Oreochromis niloticus: one gene and its partner. The protein of the gene in region 1 purifies or fractionates together with the protein of each later gene. This does not show direct contact. Links are inferred from orthologs where the notes say so. Each region holds a gene or a part of one and is shown in the gene's direction. Other genes may lie near its edges.

Region 1 (7,940 bases):
GAGGTAAAAATGCCTCAGAACAAGGTTCTTATGTGGATGGAAATATCTTCACGTAAATTTGCACATTTTCAAGAGTTCACTGAGTGTTTTCTGTGTGTATAGATGGTCTCCATGGAGAATGCAGAAGAGTACGTGGAGTTGATGTTTGACTTCTGTATGCACACTGGCATCCAGAAACAGATGGAGGCCTTTAGAGGTAAATGTGCAAAACTGGCAAATTGTTTCTCTACAGTGTCCTGTCATTGTGGAGAAATCTGTTTTTTTTTTTGTTTTTTTTTAGAAAACTTCACAAAATAAAATAGTTTCCTGTTTTAATGAGGAAAGAGGTGGACAACATAACAAAGCAAGAAAGTAGTGCTCTGTGTTCAGAGGCAGTTGTTTTAATGCTGGAAACGCCCTTGACGTGGCCTAATTGGACTTGGTCTTGGTAAAGTTTGAGGGGTGTTTTTTTTTTCTAAAGATTGACTCTCATTTTAGACCCTTATGTTCTCTCGACTCATTGTCACAATAGAATTGATTCCATTGCGACGAGAAACTTTTCTGGTTCGTTTTCCCTGGCAGTTTAGTAAATTGGTGATTATTTCTAAAATTGAGTGAATACTTGGATATCTAATATCATAAACGTGTCCTCTCCTCCTCAGAGGGTTTTAATCGCGTGTTTCCAATGGAGAAACTAAGCTCTTTTAGCCATAAGGAGGTGCAGATGATCCTCTGTGGCAACCAGTCTCCTTCCTGGACTGCTGACGACATCATCAACTACACAGAACCAAAGCTTGGTTACACCAGAGACAGGTATGACATGTTACATCAACACTAATGGAAACACTGAGCCACGGCATCATGTATTTAACCTCTCCTCCTCCTTCAGCCCTGGCTTCTTGCGGTTTGTGCGAGTCTTATGTGGAATGTCATCTGATGAGCGTAAAGCCTTCCTGCAGTTTACCACTGGCTGCTCCACCCTGCCACCTGGTGGTCTTGCCAACCTGCACCCCCGCCTCACTATCGTCAGGAAGGTAAACTGGCTCTCTAAATGACTGAGTTTGTTAATATAGGTAGTTTTAGTCAGTAAGCTGACTGACTGTTGCCTCCGTAGGTGGATGCCACAGACTCCAGCTACCCATCTGTCAACACTTGTGTTCACTACCTGAAGCTGCCCGAGTACTCATCTGAGGACATCATGAGGGAGCGCCTGTTAGCCGCTACCATGGAGAAAGGCTTCCACCTCAACTGACCACCGCTGCCACACTGAGCATGCTTCTCAAGTCATCTGTCCGTCTCGCCTTGTGACTGACGGATCAGCCAGCCAATCCAAACCAGCTGACGGACTGACGGCCGGACCTCCTGCTACAGGAGGAGGAGGATTTATGTTGCAGAAACAAAATGAAAGAAACGCTCTCACGTCTTTCACACCTCTCTGACCGCCTCCTTCATCAGCAGCAGCATCATCTTCCTCACCATCCTGAGCTGCTGCTGCTGCTCTGTTCCCAGCTTTGATGCTGCAGGCTTGCGTGTGTTTGTGTGTACGTGCGTGTGTGTGCTGATCTCCTCCTCCTGTCTGCTCTCAGTTTGGTGCCTGGTTTGACTCATAGCTTCTGTTTTCACTTCCTCCTCCCTGAAATGTTCATGGATCCCCCCATCCCCATTTATTGCTTTTTGTTTTTGTGTGTGTGCGACAGTTCTCTGGTTGTTACTGACCAGTTGTAAAGGTCAAAGGTCAGAGAGCCTTTGGTGTTTGTTTTACAATGAAGCTATGGAGACAAAAACACTGGCTGTGTGCAAGGCACATCTAAAGAGAAAGATTTAAAAAAAAAAAAAAAAAGAAAGCTCTGCTATCCCTGTATTTTCTTTGTATATTATAAACATTTATTTAACTCAAGTTGCAGTTTGAGGTAAACAGATATTTTCAAATGTGTATGCTCCCAAAAAAAATCATTAAAATGTTTGCAAAGTATGAAGTAAAGAATGAGTCCTGTGGTCTGTGGAAGAATATGAATCTTTGATTATTTATTTTTTTTTTTCCATTTTGTTTTCAAGTTGAATTTTGACTTGTTTGTAGTGGAGTTTAAGTGTTTCAGTATTACAGCTGCACTTCAACCAACATGAGGCTGAAGCAGATCCATCATCTACAGCAGTCCAGTCGCTGAAAATCACCGCGTAGAGATGTAGTATTGATTTAGAGATTTATCTTGTAGCCTTTTTCTAAAAAAAAATTTCAAACTTATTATACAGATGTTGTTTCAGTATTTAGGACATTATATTTTTTTAAAATGAAATAGTTATTTAATTTTTTTTTTTGTTTTATTACATATTAGACAGCTTTTTTTATATATATATATATATATTTTTATTAATGTTTTAGGTTTATACATATACAAAAAATACCGCCACATGTCTTTACATTTTGGTTTGTTACAGATATTTTACATGTGTGGCCAGCTCAGTCAAAACAATCCCTGTGGTCTCCCAATACCCCAAAAGACAAATTTAAAAAATGTAATTTATTTCCCGCTAAATTCACACAACCAGTTTTCCCCCTGAATAATTCAAACTGGCCAACTTCAGAGGGAGGCTTCCTGCTCTCAGCTGTGCAGCTCAAACATCTGGATACAGTATACAGATGTGTATTAATATGCTGACCAGAGTTCATGTTGGCACTGAGTAGTTGTTTTTTTTTTTTTTTTTTTTTTAACATCAGTACCTTTAACCAGATTCTAAATTCATACAGTAAGCTGTGGGCCATTCCTCGAGCTTGAAGGACAGTCCGTGACTCCCTTTCTTCTTTTTGTCAGCTCTCCACCATCTTGTCAATGGCGGTGAGGGGAGCGAGGATGCGGCTCTTGTTTGTTTCCACAATGTGTCCATTCTGGATCATCTCATCCAGGATGATATGAACTCGATCCAGATTGAACATTATCTGATAAAGGCGAAGGGTCAAGGAAATAAAGAAAGACAAAGACTCCTACTGAACAAATAGTGATGGGTAACTTTTACATTAATATTTGACCTCAACTCTAAATCTGTTGTGTCTCCAGGTTATTCTTTCTTTTTTTTCTTTGCGCCATTCTGTGTCCTTGTCAATGGTCACTGTCCTTCAGCTGACCATAAAATGTAAATGAAGGAGCTTTATTATTGGCTCTGACATCTGGTGTAAAGGTGATTTGAAATTGGTTAATAAGGAATTAAAAATTACTGGGCTTTGGTAAAATATGCACTGCATGTCATGCTAAAAGCACAGTGTGTGCAGCTGTGGCTGTGTTACAGGATACATCCAGTTCACTCTGTAGGGAGAAATACACAGACTGAAATATTCAAACAGCAGCAGCTTTCTATGATTCATGCATTTCAACAGTCTTCATTTGTTGTTACAGACATCTCAAAAAGTATACAATATATGTTTGAAACTGTAATCATTACTTTTAATGCTTTTAAGACCTGCCTTAGACCTGCACTGATAATGGATCCAACGGTTTTCAGCAGTATAGCTCGAGAATTAAGTGAGGTAGAATTTACTTTTTAATTCAAAGGTGCATCTACTAAATAGCTAGTCATTGTGACTTTGACCTCAAGTTCAGAGGCTTTTTAGGATTTTCACATTTCTACCACAGATGCATCTACTAGGAGGCTGAGGGGTAGCACTGGCGGCTGCCAGTATTTATTTTTGTAAGAACCTCGATCAAACTGAACTCACCACCCGGCTGAAGTATTTATCCAAGACCTCCACGAAGTTATGAACCAGCTCGTAGATGGACAGCTCATTCTGTGAGAGTAAAGAGGAGAAACACGTCCTGTTGACCATTGAAAGGACGAAAACGCTGAGGTGTAAAATACCTCCGATCAGACTCACCTCACTGTCTGTGATGCCCACCACGATATACAGAGCAGCATACTGGCGGTAAACCACTTTAAAGTCTTTGTACTCCACAAAGGAACACTGCAAGCAGAGAGAGGTTAAAAACATGATATTGTTATGTTATTTATTCGATCTAAACGAGACTGGGAATTCGCAGACAGACACCTGATCTTTCTTGCGGCTCAGGCAGTAGCGTACTACATCGGCCTCAAGCGCTGCTCTCCTGCTCAGCTCCACAGAGTGATAATACCTGGACAGCCTGGTCTGACCCTGTCGGTTTACCATTAGCACGAACTTGATCATTCTCCGATCGGCTGCTGGCTGCAGAGGAATCGTAAAGTCAATATTATCAGTACAGACCATTGTCCCATGGTATGAGATATTGCAATCTAATACATTGAACACCCGCTTCTTGTTGTATAGTAATACAAAAACTGAGTTTGTTGGTTACCTACCACTACTGGGTCACCGGAGTAGTCAAGGAGGACATTAACAAATCCTACACCCTCAGCATTACATTTCTCTTTAACAAGTTTAGTGCCGTTTAAATACAACATAACTTTCAGATGGTCAGGAAACTGTGTAACACATCAGTCATTAAGCTGAACGTTTGTTTTACTTACCGCCAGCTGTTAGCTTGTGCCAGATGCTACATTAACCCCATCAAACGGGCTAAAATGGGAACTTCTGCTAGCGAGTTTTTGCCCCAAGCTAATGTTATTTTAAACACGATGCTTTCGGTTTACAGGATTAAAGTCAGATTACTGTAAAGTACCGTAAAGGTAAATAAATACGAACGAAAGACGAAATCCAACGATATACAGCAATAGCATTTGGTACGCATGCGTAGATAGGTGCATTCCAGGGTAACAGTTATTTCCTACATTTGAACGCAAGTACTTTCTACTTATACTTTCAAAACATGCTCGTAACTTAAGCATTAAGACATTTGAGGGAGTAATTATTCCACGCAAACAATCCAAAAGAAAATCCCACCGATGTTTGCATGTTTCCTCCTTTGAAAGATGCAAAATATATACCTTGTACATAATTTATTGTACTGTACTCACGGTTTAAAATTGGTCGGTACGATCCTGGACGGGATTTTAGATTCAGCTGTTTACAAGTTGTGGTTGTGGTACTTAAAAGGAGCGATAGACAACAACCACAATATGTCTGATAGCTAAAGGTAAAACTGCTGTATTTCCTCATACATCTTAATATATGCTCCGTTAAAGAGTTATATTTTACTACCCTTTCCTTGAGCCGTGAAGGTTCCATATTTGGATAGCAGGAAGGGAAAAGGAGGATGGATGTGTCCCGTCAGGCATTGCGGCTGGGTTCTCCCACCTTGACCATCAGGATCTAGAGAAACAGAGAGAGAGGTCGGGGAAGAGAACAGTAATGGCGGCCGGTTAGCTCTATACACAAACACCAAGTCCTCAGTCAGCCGCGCGCACCACACCGCTCCGAGGAAAGCCAGTTTTACACAACACAGCGGAGCCAGCTAGACAGGCACGGAGCTGAGACACGGGCTTTAGGGGGCGGGGATCCCTCCGCGGATCGTTGCTGCCTGTGGAGACTTTCCTTCTACTTTTCAAAAAAAAAAAAAATTATGGACGAACACCCCGGCGGAGGAGGGGTCGGAACAAGTGCCCCACGACAGCCTCCGCCACCACAGCAGCAGGGGAATAACAGTAGCGCGAATCCACCAATTGGAGGCGGTGGTGGCGGAGCAGTCATGGTACCACACCAGCCCGATGAGCTACCTCGGCCGCAGCAGCAGTACACAATCCCCGGCATCCTGCACTACATCCAGCATGAGTGGGCCCGGTTCGAGATGGAGAGGGCGCACTGGGAAGTGGAGAGGGCCGAGCTTCAGGTTAGCCCTCCCAACTTAGCACAGAATTCCAACCATGCTAAACCCCAACAACAACAACATGGACAGTGTGTAGACAATTGGTTTTAGAGAGGTAGTGGCAGTGTTGCAACATTTAATCTATAATTTCATCGATTAGTTAGGCATGGCCTTGGTTTAAACGGGAGGCAAAAGCAGCTAAGCTCGATATTTTTAACCCGACTGGCTAAGTGGCTAAGCTAAAGGGTCAGCTCTGGGTTACCGTTAGCTCGACTAGAGGTAGCGCTTAGCTTCAGTCGGTGTCAGACAAATTTAGCAGGTAGCTGAAGCTGTTGTTGCCGTTCTCCTCTGTTAGCTCATTTGTTCATATTAAGCTAAAACTTTCCCACTGTGGAAACTGAGTTCAGACGCTAGCTAGCAATGGAGAAGTGAATCCAACCGACTGTCAGCTATCTAATCTTAGTCATTTTGGTTTGTCACGCTAGCTGTTAGCAGTGTTAGTCGCTAATGTTGCTTTTGAGTCAACAGCTGGGCCCGAGCGACTGTGATTCACAGCACATAAGGAAAAGAAATGAAATTGGAGGAAAACTGCGTAACCATTTAAAAGTTATTCTTTTCAGTATGAATGATGAAATAAACTCTTAGTATTAGTATTAGTTAGTATTGCCAGATAAAAATTATGTGACATCAAAGTATTATAAACATGAGATACAAAATAAAAACAAAATGTTCAAGCCCGTATATTAAAGTCGGATCTTGCTGTCATATTTGATAAAAGTCAAATTTATAAACTAAAATTAAATTTAAGAATAAAAACACTTGAATTTTAAAATCATAAGATAAAAGGCAGACCTTAACTATCAGCGTTACAATTGTAAGTTAGGAGGGTAAGACAATCAGATAAAAGGTCAACACTTTTAGCAGGCATGATAAATTGAGAGCATTTCTAGTTTTTCATAGTCTCAGTAAATGGGGTGCCCATGCACTTAGGCTGATAAAATGTAATCACCCATTGAATGTTGCATGTACTAATATGATAATCAGTAGCATTAAGTAACAAACAAAGACAAGACATTTTTATACCGTGTAGATTTATTTAAATCCAAGCCAGTTTAGAGTGCCTTTGGTTTCCTTGTAAAAAGAATACCATGTCTTTGTTTTGTAATAAACAAGGCTAATTCTTTGACATATAAATGAGTTATCAAATCTTGTATCTGTTTTGACAGGTATCCATGTAAGATCAGTTTAGTGTTACATACACTTGGATTAACTAATAGTTTCTTTAAGCTATTTATGACCACTGTTTAGAGTGTATTCACCATGAGGCCATCAAATAGGGGTATGGCAGAACCATTTTATGTATTTATTTGAACAACAGTATTTGCTTTTATAAGTTTCCTGCTACTTGTATAGTTCCTGCTGTAAGAAGATGTTTTAATTCACACAATTATTAAATACATAGAAAATGTATGTAATTTAATACTGCTCTGTATGTGTCTCCAGTGGTATAGTGGTTAACACATTCCCTTGGTAAGAGAAAGGGCACAGGTTTGATTTTAGCAGGCAACATAAATCCTCTCTGGGGTTGGGTCAGGAAGAACATCTGGAGTAAAAAAGAAACTCTGTCAAATCAAACATGTGGAGCTACCCGCTGTGGCAACTCTTTGTAGCAAGCCTTTGTGACAAGAAAGCAGTCAAAAGTAGATTTTTACATAAATTGTTCTATATAAAGCTCTAATACAGGTCGGAATCACCATCACTCCACGATACAATATTATCACAATACCTCAGTGATGATATGATGATATTGCAATTTTTAACATTTTGTTTGTGATATACTGAGTATTGCCATAACATACATTATGATTTGTGACCTTTTTTCAACTGCAGATAATTTCCTCAAAGTTGAACTTTGTAAGTATTTGTTTTTATCCAGTAAAATAAAGTTATCTCACTTCAGTTATTTATATTTTTTTGCTGCAAAATGAGAGCATCTATAGCAACACCTGCCATAAATGTTGCTATAAGATGGATTCAGTCTGCTGTCAGTCTGCAATCGAATGGGGTCAAGTTGGCAATTACATCCCCTCTGTTTCTGATAATACAGCAGTAAACTGTGATAAATCATTGAAAATCACACCTGTTGCTGTCTACACAGACAGAAATTCATATTTGAATATTACAGTTGCGGTCGGTAACCTTCCTGTTCTTTAGGAATGTAACCAGAATACA
Region 2 (7,981 bases), on another chromosome or scaffold:
GTGAATGAGGGTAGTAGCTTTCCTGTGCAGGAGAAAAATGCAAGCTCGGAATTCAGCTTGAGGCCAATACAGTTACAGTGTCACCATCTCTGACATATTTTGCCAGCAGGCCCTCTTTTAACATATCCAGTTGTTGGCAAAGCTGGAATAGCAGTTGATTCAAGTTTTTCATTGTCTCAATGGATTCACTTATAAAACAACCAATAGGATTTTTTTTTTTTTAATGAAAAGACCAATGATTGGCCAAAGGTGTGAGGTATAGAAGTCTAGTTTCCTACTGAAACCACTTTAATTATATTATGTTGAGGTTATTATTGAATATTTGTCCAGTGAGGGCCAAAAATCTGAGTTTTAAGATACTCAAAATACTGTTACATATAACAAAAGGAAAAAATGGTGCCGTTATTGTATACCAGTGCTGTTAGTTTATGAGCAACAATGCAAACATACCTCACTCACACTTCTTTTGCATCATTTTTTTCTCCCATCTTAAGGTGCACGGATAGCAGAGTACTCCCATCTGTATGACCAGGTGATGTTTAAAGATTCCTCCAGTCCAACCTCTGCTACCCCACATCACTCCCATCCAGGTCTGTCATCTTCTCCGTCCATGCCTGAGACCTCTCTGGAAGAGGACTGGCTCCACTCTACCTACAGCAACGGAGAGCTGGCCAGCTTTGTCTCCTCGTCTAGCGAGGTGGGGGAGGCTCGAGCATCTTCTACCCCTCAGCGCAGGCTTACTTCAGCCTGCTCCACCCCTTCTTTCTTCCCTCCATCTCCGACCACTCCACCGGCACAGAGATGGAGTTCATGCATTTCGGCGCCTAGCGAGAAAGAAGAGCACGTGTACAGCTCCATTAAGAGACATCCTTCCTTTAATGCACCATCTTTGCCTGCAAAGGCCTCCCCTTCTGCTCAGTCAGTCAGTTCTACGGGCAGCCAACAGCAGGAGAAGTCTGGACTTAAATGTAATGGACTCGATGTGGATCGATCCACAGACAGACTTCATGGTCCAAGTCTAGGCCGAGCTGGCCGGCAAAGTAGCCTCCCAGAGCGGTCTACCCAGGGGCTTTCAGACCTCACTTTACACGATGGCCAAAAGGTGGTGGTCCTGAATCGGGCTTCTGCACTGAGCATACTCACCGCTACCCAGAACTACTTGGCCAACTTCAAGGACAATGGGGAAGACGATGACGACTATGTCGAAATCCGCTCAGAGGATGAGAGTGAACAACAGCGTGACAGGTTGGCGCAGAAGAACGGCAGCTCAGCTGCTCTTGCCGGTCAGAATCGGGGCGTTATCCAGTCTCAGAGTCTACCGTGCACCCCAATCCGCTCCTGCGACCCGCTGAGACCTCTGGACCACGAGCATCTGGAGAAATACCTGTGGAACGAGCCGCAGCAGAGCCAGCCCAACATCGTCCAGTCTCTGAGGGAGAAGTTTCAGTGTCTGAGCTCCAGCAGCTTTGCCTGAGGCTATGTGTCAACTAAAAAGCCAAATCTATATTAACAAAGGGAACAATTCTGCTTGGCCTTGAATGCCCTACATCTTAAAACACAAAGAAATATAAAGCAAATATAACACAACTCTCAGTGTAGATCAGCCATATTTGTAATGACATGTTAATGCCTTTGCCTTCTGTTACAGTGCTTTGAAGTTTAACATAATAGGTGACCATTAACGGTCAAAACGCCACATCAAAGCTTGCATGTAAGCTGCCTTAGCACTTCCAGAGATCGGGGTGGGGGGGTGAGGGGTCGCTAGAGAAAAGCAAAGTTCTCAATTGTCTGTAAAGGGAATCCAGTGTGACTGAAAAGATTTTAATATTCAAACTCTTCGATTGCTTTTTGTGTTGAACCTTGTAGACATAACTGGTGTCATATGAACTGTTGTACAGTAGTTCAGGATACTGACTGAAATGTACTCTCTTCTGTGCTCAAGGTCTTAGACTTAGACTTAAACATCTGGTGGACTTTGACAGATTGTGACCACCACCATGTCAGAAGTACCTCTTCAACCATGTTCTTAAGGTTAATTTTAACTGCACTTTCATCTCTAGTTAATATTTACCTATATAGGAGAGGTGACCCAGAGTCGTGGCTAGTTTTAAAACAAATTTGCTTACACCATCAAACAGTTCCAAACAAGCAGCTTTACAAATATACAGTTCAGATTTGCAGTCTTCACATGTGCTACTCAGGCTAGTTTTTCACCTTTAGGTGGCTAATACAAGACCCAATAGGTTAAGTATGACTAAACATAGACTTGTAAGTCTATTTGAAGTTATTGTACGTCACTCTGCCTACCACCTTTCTAGGGTATTGTGCTTTAAAAATTGAGAAGATGCTGATATTTTAGATGATCAATAAGAAAAGATAGGATTAAATATTTATTTTGAATCTGTGAGCAAATCGGAAATGTTTTTACGTGTTAATGTCTGGGGCCATCCATCGTGCACAGCTTAAATGTTCATCTCAATAAATAAATCGTATGTGTGTGTGTGTCAATTTTTTTTTTTTTTTTTTTTAAATATTATAATTTAACCTTTGCTTTTAAGAGGGACCACAAAGGAAATGATTAAGGAGACTTACTACAGTACTGTATATGGTGTAGGTTTTTTTTGTTAGTGTTTTTTTTTTTGTAATGGATCATCAGCTGTTTGTTTACCTTGTTTACGTCTTGGGACACTCCCAACTGTCACACTACTGATATTACATCCTCACTCCCAGAAAGTCACCTCGACGGTTCGCCAACACATTTGTTTTTTCTTTCCCATCAAAGCAAACCCAAGATTTATGCCACACTTGTTTAATTTCTGAATGTCCTATTTATTTGAAAGCATCCCTCTGTTACTGCCCCGTGTCACTATTACTGCGAGCCACCGACTGGTTGTAAATGAAAGAATATATTTATTGAAAGAGAGTTTTATTATTATTTAGGAGCTCACAAAATTTGTATCAAATACTGTGAATATTATCCGAAAATGTTTCTATCACGCACTGCTTGATAAATACTTACGAAAAGAAAACCCCACAAACACTTAAAAGCACAAGATCGTGGCCTGTTGTTCATGTCAGGAAAATTGCGTCAAACACAAGTTAGGAATATGAAGTATTTTTGTTCCATTGTACATTTTCGTCCTGTTTCACTGGTGGGGATTGTCAGTTTTCATTTACTTTTTCTTTTCTTTTTTGCACTTTTTTTTGTCTTTTTTTTTTTTTTTTTTTTTTTTTTACGTTGAATTTGTAAACACTTTGTAAAGATGTACATTTTAGGAAGGTTATTCTTCTATGCCATAGGTATGCTTTTTAATGCTTTGATGTTTAAGTTAAGTCTACTGTATTTTTTTAACTGGCTAGATGTCGTGGCTCAAACTATGTTGGAGGTAATAAATACAGATTAAACTCACCTTTGTGTGTGTGGTTTTTTTTTTTTTTTTCTTCCTCTTGTTATCTCTCCACACTGAATAATAGGACTCACAGCAGTCAGGAAACTTTTCTTTATGTACTACAGTTCTTATTAGCAGTAGAGCATGCATGTCATTTACTTAAGTAAAACTGTTTGCAATGGCAGAACACTTCCCAGCACTGAAAGGCACTTCCCGGCACTAATGGTATGACTTTCAAAATCGTACATCACCTCATTCTTAAATTATTGCATTCACAAACATATGTGTCCGCTCTGCCTGGCCAGTTGACGACAACACCCCATTCAGCCTTTTATAGCTGAGCAGTCAAAACTGAGCAAAAATGCTAAATGAGTTTAAAACAATTAAATAATAATAAAAACTAGACCCCATGAACCTTTCAGTTTAGGTCTGGACTTTGACTGGCTCATCTCAGCAACTTGCTTCTTTTCTATTTCAGCCATTGTATTGTAGAGTTGCTGTTGTGTTGGGACCTGTGTCCTGCATAACTCAAGTTGGCAAAGCTTTAGCTGTCAGACAGATGGCCTCACATTTGACTCTAGAATGCTTTGTTACACAGAGGAGTTCATGGTCAACTCAGTGACTGCAAGATGTCAAGGCCCTGTGGCTGCAAAACAAGCCCAAATCATCAACCTTCCACCGCATACTTGACATTTGGTTTGAGGTATGTTCAGATGCAGCTTTGCAAACATAAACCATGCTGCCATCTTGTTTTTATAAAGAAGAGGCTTTTCTTTTTCTTCCAAACATGTCATACTTGTTCCCTCTTAATTCTTAAAGTAAGGGTGTACTTAGATTTCCAATCACTGCTTTCACTCTTCATCTTGGCTTAGTTTTTGATAAATAAACATAACGGCATATGTCATGTTTTATAATTAATCTGAGGTTGTAGTTACCTAATCTTAAAATCTGCTAAGGACTAGATTATTATCCTGAAATGTGAAACAGAATTTAAAGAGGGTGTACTTTTGTTTCACCATGATTTTGTAAATAAAAATATTTAAGCCATTCGAAAGTAAATGTGTTTGAAATGGAAATATCATCTCTAATATATTATTTCCAAGCCACTAATTTGTCTCGTCGCTAAACATATTATGAAATTGAGTATATGGAATTTGTGAGTGAAAGCAAATATAAAAATAATTCAAATAGTTTTAACTTTCTGTTGATGTACTGACCAAAAATAAATACAAACAAATATTCATCTTTCAATACAAAAATAAAGAAAATACCGCATGAAACTAAGGAAAAAGTCGACAAAAAATAGGATATTCATCCGCATAACCACAGTATCAACAGTAGCAGGCGCACAAACAGCTTTAGAGCTTCGGAAGAACCAAGAAGAAGAACTAGGGCGCGGCGCGGTTGTTTTGGGGCATGCTGGGAAATGAAGTTTATAAGAAATGACTCAACAAAAACGTTGATTTGTAATTTAAAAAGGGAACGACATCACGTGAAAAAATGTAAAACATTTAATAGCGAGTTCTACAACACAATTAAAAGCTCCCATACTGAAAAGATCGAGATTCTTAAGATATTTTCTTCTCGAACCTTCTTCCCAGTACCGGTTTACCCATAGTGCACTGCGCAGCTTCCTTTCTTCTCGGTTGTGCGGTGGTCCAAAAAAATGTCGCTATTAGACGGTCCGTTAAATGTGCTCGGCCAGAGGACAACTGGCCAATCTGTTCGCACTCAAAATGGTGAGTTTATGCGCTGCTTAACTTTGTCCGTGAGACAAAATTAGCGTCTCTGCTATGTGTTTATTATAACGGGCAGGAGAACGGTTTCATGCAACACACGTGTGGATCACGCTAATGCTAGCTAATGTTAACTTAGAGATTGTGCTTCCTGTCTATTACTATTATTATTAGTATTATCATTATACTACAGCACTGAAAATCTGTTCTGTCTCAACTCTTGCAGCACGTGTTGCAATTGTCTAAATCCCATTTTAGTACCGTCCACTCGCACTACAATGAATGGAGGGTTATGCTAATGGGATAGAAAAACTCTGTCATGGTCTGAAGGTGTGGCGAGCTGAATGTGCGCCCCTCTGAATGAAATGACAGCATATCCCTCTGACTGAGGTCCGAAGGGTCAAAGGATGTGCCTAGTATCTTTAGATGCATTGAACTTGTTGCTTCACGCTCGGTAGTTACAGCGTCCTTTTCGCTTCTGCAGTTATGGCCGCAGCATCCATCGCCAACATCGTCAAGAGCTCGCTCGGACCCGTTGGCCTCGACAAGATGTTGGTGGACGATATCGGGGTCAGTATCACGTTTGGAAGCCTTTTGTATCACGCTCTGTTTATATGCCATTAAACAAAGGTTACTGTAGTAAACTAAAGTAAACAGAAGGTTTAAATTAGCGATCAAATACATGAAGAAATCAACTTCAGATTGTGCAAAATGCAGCAGCCAGACTTCTTACAAAAACCAATAAAACTGAACTGAAGCGTCAACACTGCATAGGGTTTAGATCATGAGGCAGAAACTATAATAACCACATAAAAGCCATAGTTGCTTATCAGTTGTGTTTTGTGGTTGTTTCGACAGGACGTGACCATCACCAATGATGGAGCAACCATCCTGAAGCTGCTGGAAGTGGAGCACCCAGCTGCAAAGGTCCTGTGTGAACTGGCTGATCTGCAGGACAAGGAGGTTGGCGATGGGACAACATCTGTGGTGAGTAGCTACCACTAGCTCTACTGGTGTTTGTGAATGCAGCTAATTTGTTGGATTTTACATAATACAGAGCTTCAGAAACTGAATTGCAGCATCCTGTTTTAGTACTATGCACCTGCCTCTTATTACGGGTGTGTGGCTATGCTAACAGGAAAGAGAAACTGTCCATCATGATCTGAAAGGGTCGAGCAGCCTCATTTCTGCCACCCTTAAAGAAATGATGGTACAGAGCATGATCCGTATCTTTTGAGTTTTATTGTTGATAGAAAATAAACTAGTTCCCAGCTTTTAGCTCTCATTGTTTGCGTTTCTCTTTCTCAGGTAATTCTTGCTGCAGAGTTGCTCAAGAGTGCCGATGAGCTGGTGAAGCAGAAAATTCATCCCACATCAGTCATCAGTGGATACCGTCTGGCTTGCAAGTAAGATGTTAAATGTAAAATCATCCAAATAAGATCATGTAGGGTCTGTTGCAGTTTTGTGACGCTCAAACTTGCCGTTATCTTTTAGAGAAGCAGTCCGCTACATTACTGAGAACCTCACTATTGGAACAGACGACCTGGGAAGAGAATGCTTAATCAACGCCGCTAAGACCTCCATGTCTTCCAAAATCATCGGAGTGTATCCTTGATTTGTTTGCAGGAAATCAGCAAAATTTACCAGTGTTTATATTTTGCATGTGCAGAAAGCTCTTCTCACTCTCTAAAGTATCTGCCTTGACCCAAGCCTTCAGTGATGCAGACTTCTTTGCTAACATGGTGGTGGATGCTGCCATGGCTGTGAAGTTTGTGGACAGCAAGGGGGTAGCTAAATATCCCATCAACTCAGTTAATGTGCTGAAAGCCCATGGCCGCAGTCAGAAGGAGAGTTTCTTGGTCAACGGGTATGCACTGAACTGCACAGTCGGTTCACAAGGTAAGTCTGTCACAAAGCCTGAAATTCATGGATTTTAAGTGTAAAAAGTGAGGATTTGCACAATGTTGGTGATTTCTTTTGATTAGACTCCCATTTAAATTTGCTGCTATGTCTTTCCTGATGGTGTATGCAGTGATACGCGTGGGAGACAGTAACCATGGCTAAGAGAAAGATGGTCACAGCAGTTTGTGAACTGTGGCAAAGCTTCTTTTGGCCTCACAGTAGAATAGTTCAGGGACCGTTTTTCCCTTCAAACGGTTTTGTAACTGTTTTTATAATTTTCTCATAATGAATTTTTATTGTCCTTTGGATTTTTAAAATGATGTATTGTGTCACAGGCATGGTGAAGCGTGTCGTTAATGCCAAGATCGCTTGCCTGGACTTCAGCCTGCAGAAGACCAAAATGAAGATGGGTGTACAAGTTATTATTAACGACCCAGAGAAGCTCGACCAGATCAGACAAAGGTGACTTTTGAACATTTTTTTTCTTTTTCTTTAAACAGACACATTTTTAAGAATCATCCCATTAAATTTACTGTGTTGCTTCATCATTAGCTGACACAGTGATACGCGTGGGAGATATCATAAGCAGCCACATGTGAAGGCAGCAGCTCTTCTCTGAGATGCATGACTACTAATGTTGGCCGGACACTTTGTGCATCGCATGTCTTTATAATTATACTGTTTAAAGTATTGCAGCTTATTGTGAAACTGATAACAAAGCTCCACACAAAGGAAATGTGGAGGTAAAACTAAATATGTATTTTGTGTGGTTCCAGGGAATCTGATATTACCAAGGAGAGGATCCAGAAGATTTTGGCATCAGGCGCAAATGTTATACTGACCACTGGTGGCATTGATGACATGTGTTTGAAGTATTTTGTGGATGTGGGAGCCATGGCTGTTAGACGAGTTTTGAAGAGGGACCTCAAACGCATCGCAAAGGCAACAGGAGGT

What was found.
Region 2: the proteins of strn3 (region 1) and tcp1 purify together in Homo sapiens (affinity purification with mass spectrometry; 3 studies listed by BioGRID and IntAct, with this or other methods). This does not show direct contact. The link is inferred for Oreochromis niloticus from reciprocal best matches to the Homo sapiens genes STRN3 and TCP1.

What each region holds. Positions count from the first base shown.
Region 1 is NC_031983.2:3,680,894-3,688,833, forward strand, and holds the start of strn3 (striatin-3), read left to right. Parts: upstream 1-4,920; 5' UTR 4,921-5,465; coding exon 5,466-5,732; intron 5,733-7,940. Other genes in the region: E3 ubiquitin-protein ligase HECTD1, read left to right, coding at 1-3, 103-196, 642-792, 869-1,013, 1,094-1,231; ap4s1 (AP-4 complex subunit sigma-1), read right to left, coding at 2,786-2,914, 3,267-3,299, 3,689-3,757, 3,845-3,931, 4,016-4,213. UniProt on the Homo sapiens protein: Calmodulin-binding scaffolding protein which is the center of the striatin-interacting phosphatase and kinase (STRIPAK) complexes.
Region 2 is NC_031980.2:12,365,095-12,373,075, reverse strand, and holds the start of tcp1 (T-complex protein 1 subunit alpha), read left to right. Parts: upstream 1-4,973; 5' UTR 4,974-5,055; coding exon 5,056-5,128; intron 5,129-5,370; exon of another isoform or gene 5,371-5,508; intron 5,509-5,609; coding exon 5,610-5,695; intron 5,696-5,983; coding exon 5,984-6,112; intron 6,113-6,433; coding exon 6,434-6,531; intron 6,532-6,619; coding exon 6,620-6,730; intron 6,731-6,842; coding exon 6,843-7,024; intron 7,025-7,362; coding exon 7,363-7,489; intron 7,490-7,803; coding exon 7,804-7,979; intron 7,980-7,981. Other genes in the region: pleckstrin homology domain-containing family G member 1, read left to right, coding at 495-1,474. UniProt on the Homo sapiens protein: Component of the chaperonin-containing T-complex (TRiC), a molecular chaperone complex that assists the folding of actin, tubulin and other proteins upon ATP hydrolysis.